Oryctolagus cuniculus: one gene and its partner. The protein of the gene in region 1 purifies or fractionates together with the protein of each later gene. This does not show direct contact. Links are inferred from orthologs where the notes say so. Each region holds a gene or a part of one and is shown on either strand. Other genes may lie near its edges.

Region 1 (2,983 bases):
TTGATCAGGAATGGGCAGCTTCAGGTGGCAGCATTCAGCACAAAATACATTCCCACAATTTCTGCCAAAGCACAAAGAGGGAAGAGATCATCAGAAATGCCAGTCTCCTAAGAACGACTGAGGCTCTCAAAAGCTTTCCATGACTAAATGGAGAAAAGGGTTGGGAGCAAACAAGATAGCTCACATGAAGAGGTCTCTATTTTCAGGTCAATGCACTTCAGTTCTGTACATACCTACAGCACTGCTTTATGAATCTTACTAAATCATAAAAATATCTCACCTGCAGTGGTGTCTTCGTTTGGCCAACCAGAACTCACAGTCACAGTTATAGCAGTGGGATGCCATATGATCTGGAACCCAGCGAGTCACCTAATAGAAGGCACAAGGAAAAATGCCAGGTCCATGTCAACAAGGTAGAAGCACAACACCGCAACAAGGAAAACATCTCAGGGGAAAAATGACAAGACTGATTTTGCAAACTGGCCTCTACTTGCCTATAAAGATGACACTCATCTAGGGGAGAGCTCAGTCTACAGCCTGTCACTCATCTCTGAGCTCACATAAGTACCCATCACATATTTGCCTGGAAGTACCTCGGTCTCTTTCTTATCAACAGGTTCCCAGCTTGCTTCTGAAAGGCAGTCTTCACTGTGATCAGAGCCAAAATCTTCGGTATCACTACCATCTGACTCCTTCAAACACGTCTAGAGAGAAGGCAGACGTCACCATCAACCTCATCACTGCTAATACCATTTACGACGTGTCAGATATTGTTCTAAGGGCATTACATGCATGAACTGATATAACACCTCACCATAGCCTCAGCATGTATATTACTATTGTCCCCATGTTATAAATAAAGAAACCCAGCTGCAGAGAAAGCTAAGAGCTATTAAGTAGTAAAGGTGGGCTTTGAAGTTAATATTCTGGCTTCAGCTCCATGTTCTTAATATGCTATACTACAAAAAAAAAAAAAAGCTATACTACAGTGTAGAAAGTCTCTCTTGTTGTTTTGTTTTTTTTTTCTTTTAAGATTTATTTATTATTTATTTGAAAGGCAGTGTTATGGAGCTGGGGCAGGGAGCAGAAGATCTTCCATCCACTGGTTTGTTCACTTCCCAAGTGGCCGCAACAGCCAGGGCTGGGCCAGGCTGAAGCCAGGAGCCAGGTGCTTCATCCAGGTCTCCCACGTGGATGCAGGGGCCCAAGCACTTAGGCCATCTTCCACTGCTTTCCCAGGTGCGTTAGCAGGGAGCTGGATTAGGAGTGGAGCAGCCAGGTCTCAAACCAGCACCCCTATAGGATGACAGTGTCACAAGCAGCAGCTTTACCCACTACATCACCTTGCTGGCCCCTTTTGTTAAGTTCTAAACCAGGAGCTGGCCAACTATGGCCCATAGGCCAAATCTAGCCCCTAACCTCAAGTTTTGCTGGAACATAGTAGCGTTCATTTACATATCATATATGGCTGCTTCTGCACTGTAACAGTAGCTGAGGCACTGTATGGCCTTTAAGACCTACACTATTCATTATCTGTACCTTTGCCAATGCATTGCCTGAAATATAAGAAGTTATTAGCCCTTTCCATTCCATCAGCAGAGAAGTGGACAACAGGCAAGTGAGAATGCCTTAACAGAAGACAAACTGGCATTCTTGCTATGTAAACAGCAGGATAGTATGGGGAGGAAATGGCTCCAAGAAGCTCCCCCAGGACTGCGATGCCAGAACTTGAGGCTACCCAACACAGCGCAGTCTAGATGCCCCTCATCATCTCTTACTTTGTTTATTCCAAAATGTCCTAACCAGCCTCCAACCTGGTTCTCAACTGCCTCATCCATTTTCTACACTGCTAGTTTTTGTTTTTGTTACTTTAAGATTTATTTATTTGAGAGGTAGAGTTACAGAATGAGAGGGAGAAAGGGAGACAGAAAGAGATCTTCCATCTGCTGGTTTACTTCCCATATGGTGGCAATGGCCAGATCTGGGACAATCCAAAGTCAGGAGCCAGGAACTTCTTTTGGGTCTCCCATGAGGTTATTTGGGCCATCTTCTGCTGCTTTCCCAGGCGCAATAGCAGGGAGCTGGATCGGAAGTGGAGCAGCTGTGACTTGAACCAGCACCCGTATGGAATACCAGAGACCTAGGCAGTGGCTTTACCTGCTATACCACAGTACCAGCCCCTATAGTCTCCTTAAAATACAAATTTGGGGCTGGTATTGTGGAACAAAGGGTTAAGCTACCCCTTGTGATGCCCACATCCCATATATGAGCACTAGTTCAAGTCCTGACTGCTTCTTCTTCTGCTAATGTGCCTGGGAAGCAGCAGGTAACAGTTCAACTACTTGAGTTCCTGCCACCCGTGTGGTTCCTGGCTTCTGGTTTCAGCCTGGCCCAACCCCAGCCATTGCAGCCATGTGGGAAGTAAACCAAAAGATGGAAGACCCCTCTCTCTGTTTCTAACTCTCTATGTGTGTCACTCTGCCCTTCAAATTAATTTATACATATAAATAAATCTGATGGTACTCACTGGTATAAAATTGTATTGCCTTGAGTATAAAATCTAAACAAGAGGGGCATTCAAGCTGACCTTTCCAAACCCCTTCAACTTCTCTGATGTCACCCCCTACCACACTACCCAACTCTCCTTCATAGTCCCAGCACAAGTGTCTATGCACGCCAATACACATTTACACCACCCTTTTTTTTCAGGGTACCTATTATCTTCATGCTTCCTTTTCACTGTCTACCTCACAAACTTTTTCAGCACTCAACTCCAGCATTATCTCCATGGAAAAACCCTTCCTTGACCTTTCATTCTATTCCAGTCCCCCAATACCTGATACCCCCTTCAATCCTACCACCTAGGAATATCCTTCCAATCATTTACTTATCTTGCATCCTATAGCCCAAGCACCTAACCCAGTGGCACATGGCAGGTTCCTAATGAATGAATGCTGAGTGGTTGCAACACTGGCTGACAGCA
Region 2 (3,655 bases), on another chromosome or scaffold:
CCTGAGTTTGCTAAGAACTTACCTACATTCTCACACCAGTCATGATTTAATCAAATCATGATATTTTGTTGGAATTACTCTAAATGGAAGAGATACATCTGAACAAACATTACCTTTTCAACATCAAATGGCTAATAGGCCTCTATTTCACAAAACAAATCTAATTAAAGTTTTTATACTTTGTCTTACCATGTTACAGAGTCCCTCATGAATTGTACAATCTAGTGTACCAAACTTGAGCTGACCATAAAGAAGAGTTGATGCTTTTCTTAACTCTGGCAGTAAAGCTCGACATGGTGGACACCACTAGAAAAGAAAAGTATTTATAAGCACTGAGCCAAATGAAACAAAAACCCGTAATTTTTCAAACAAACAAACAAAGACAAATGATACATCACGACAACTCTATGGGTATATTATTAATCCTTGGAGAAAGGTAATTACTACTTACTCTCACTTAGAAGCAATATGCAATAGTGGTCAAAACCCATTGACACCTTTCTAATACTAAAGACACTTATCAAGAAAATGTCTTTTTGACATGGCAACAGAAAATCTGACAATACTGATTAAAAAAAAAAAACTTACAGGGGCAAAAAAATCAACAAGCCATGGTTCTTTGTCATTGGCAGGAAAATTCTGAGGTCCAAGTGTAGTAACATGAGAATTAACACTTTCTTTGGCAAACGCAAGTATATCATATAGAATCTTCTTTCCTTTGAAATCAAAAGAAAAATTAAAACCACATTCTGCATTTTATACTCACAGAAACATTTCAAAGATATGAACTAAGTGATCTTGGGGTAGTTTCAGTGTCTGTACTTTATGTCTTTGCACTCTGTTTTTTAGGACTAGTAAAAATGTCAATGCCTCTTTTAAACATTTCCTCATCCCCAGAGGTAGAATAAACAATTCTTTACCATGTTCGATTCCTTATAGATATACCTGGGTATCATATCAATATTTCAAACACAGTATATTCATATTAAAACTGAGTTATTCCCCCCACGGAACTTGCTCCTTTTTTTTACCTTCCCCAGTTTGTTTGGCAATAAGATAATTATTCACTCAGTTCCTAAATAAAAGTCCCCAGAGAGCTCTTACTTTTTTTTTTGACCTTGTATCGCATCTCCATCCATTCTGTCTCTTAAGGTCCAACCTCATGCTACTGCATGAATTCAATCTGGCCTACTGCAATAACTAAGCTGGTGTTTCTGTCCCTAGCCTTCCTTAAGTACTCCATTTTCTACATGGTTAGCACAATCAACTTACAGAAACATTAATCTCATACTGTTTCCTTGTGTAAACACCTTTGATCATTTCCCACTGCTGTTTTGACAAATGGTATCTTATTCAGAGTCTAGTTCATTCTGCCAAGTGCCCTTTAACTTAGTCACTCAATAGTCAAAGTCAAGTCCCTACTATGTGCTAGATTTTGTTTAAAGACATACTTCCTCTCTTAGAGAGCGAATGGTCCAAAAGAAGAGACATTTTCACAAAAACATATAGACAGATAAATGACATCACATTATTTTTTCTAACACTTTAGCTGCTATTTCTTGACTGGCTTCACAAATTTCTTAATCTCTGACCATCCCTTATTCTGATTAGACAATTTTCATACTCAGTTTTCATTATCACTCAGGGTAATTATTTATAGCCCACATTCCTCTCCTGGGTCCAGGTCCCTGTTCAACTGTGAAGTGGGTTTGTCTACTCTATACTCACCCCTTACCCAGTGTTCTCTTCCTCACTGAATGGTACAATTATTTAACTGCTGATTCACCAAGTCAGAAACATGGGTGTTATCAGGGTTTTTCTCTTTAGCAATATCTAAGTTATAATGATTTTATATTTATAAAACATCTCTCTTCTTAATCATTTTAATTAACATTTCATTAAAGCAACCATCTTCTTCTCTAATATACATTATTGAATCCATCTTGTGCCTCTCTTCTTCCAATTCTGCTCCCATTCATTCTAGGCAGCTGCTCACCTTTCTAAAATGTAAAAAGAAGATGGGCAGGTGTTGTGGAACAGTGGGTAAGTCATTGTTTGGGATATCTACCTCCCATATTCTGGAAAAGTTGTGTCCTGAATACTCTGCTTCTGATGCAGTCTCCTATTAATGCATCCTGGAAGGTAGCAATTGATGGTTCAAGTACTTGGGCCCCTGCCACTCACATGGGAGACAACAATGGAGTCCAGGGCTTCTAGCTTTGGCCTGGCCCAGTCCTAGCTATTGCAGGCATTTGGAGAATGAACCAGCACATGGAAAATTTCTTTCTCTGTTGCTCTGCCTTTCAAGTAGATACAAATAAACAAACAACCAGTGAGATAACACCTCTGCTTTGCTTTTAGGAAACGTCCAAAGCCTTTACCTGACAAATTAAATACATAATTTGGACCTCTGATGCCCTCTCCAGCCTCAACATATTATTAATTCTGAAGTTATTATCAAAGAGCAGGGGTCTGCGCTGTGGCGCAGTGGGTAAAGCCGTGGCCTGCAGTGACAGCATCCCGTATGGGTGCCGGTTCGAGTCCTGACTGCTCCGCTTCCAATCCAGCTTTCTGCTATGCAGAAGATGGCCTAAGTCCTTGGGCCCCTGCAACCACGTGGGGGACCCGAAGGAAGCTCCTGGCTCTGGATCAACACAGCTGCAGCTGTTGCAGCCAACTGGGGACTGAACCAGCAGATGAATGACCTCTCTCCCTGCCTCTCCTCCTCTCTCTCTGTAACTCTGCCTTTCAAATAAATAAATAAATCTTAAAAAAACAAAAAATCAAAAAGACTCTCAGTACAGAGCCTCTGAATACATCTGTGCTTCAATGTATTTGCCACCTTTTCATTTGGGCAATCACCACTTCAAATCTCAACAGAGTTGCTCTATGTACTTGCTATAATCCCAGAATATCGTTCCTCCTAAGAGCAAACAAAGCTCATCTCTACGGTAATCCATTTCTAAGACAGTGACATCTCCTTGAATATTCATACCACTAGATTGTACCAGGGTTGGTTAAGCCAACTAATGGAACACGGGGATGTGATGGTTTGTCTTAAGAACAGCTTATAAAAGATATTGTTGCTTCTATCTATTTTTTTTTCTTCTTTCTCTTCAAATATTTGTTCTGGGAGAAGCCAGCAACCATACTGTGAACAATGCCATTTAGAGGCCCATGTGGTGAGGAACTGAGGCCTCTGCCAACAGCCAGCGAAGAACTCCGAACTTATACCAAGCCAAGAGTCAGCATGAAACCAGATCCTGTAACCATAGTCTAGGCTTTGGATGATCACAGACCTCATTTTGACCATAACCTCATGTGAAAACCTGAGTTCAAAACCATCCTGCTAAGCAGTTCTGACTACTGGCCAACAAAAACTAATGAGAATTAATAAAGTTTTTTAAGCTGCTGAATTTTGGGGGTAATTACAACCTGGCAAGGTAACTAATATTCTCCACATCAGACATTTGCAAAATTTGTCAATTTACTTGTGTGCTTTCTCTCCTGATCCATACTATTCTTTAGGGTAGAGATGGAGTAGACTGAACATTTTTTCCTATTCTCTATTACTGTACTTTGTACACACAGAGGCTCAATACCTAGTTAAATCCAAAGAAACAACACATGTAATAAAGTTGGTAATGGCATATTA

Evidence for each region. The genes of interacting proteins can lie anywhere in the genome.
Region 2: the proteins of MTMR4 (region 1) and DNAJC10 purify together in Homo sapiens (affinity purification with mass spectrometry; 3 studies listed by BioGRID and IntAct, counting the BioPlex papers as one, with this or other methods). This does not show direct contact. The link is inferred for Oryctolagus cuniculus from reciprocal best matches to the Homo sapiens genes MTMR4 and DNAJC10.

The regions. Positions count from the first base shown.
Region 1 is NC_091448.1:33,878,539-33,881,521, forward strand, and holds part of MTMR4 (phosphatidylinositol-3,5-bisphosphate 3-phosphatase MTMR4), read right to left. Parts: intron 705-2,983; coding exon 594-704; intron 370-593; coding exon 281-369; intron 62-280; coding exon 1-61. UniProt on the Homo sapiens protein: Lipid phosphatase that specifically dephosphorylates the D-3 position of phosphatidylinositol 3-phosphate and phosphatidylinositol 3,5-bisphosphate, generating phosphatidylinositol and phosphatidylinositol 5-phosphate.
Region 2 is NC_091434.1:57,900,364-57,904,018, forward strand, and holds part of DNAJC10 (dnaJ homolog subfamily C member 10), read right to left. Parts: intron 717-3,655; coding exon 589-716; intron 307-588; coding exon 190-306; intron 1-189. UniProt on the Homo sapiens protein: Endoplasmic reticulum disulfide reductase involved both in the correct folding of proteins and degradation of misfolded proteins.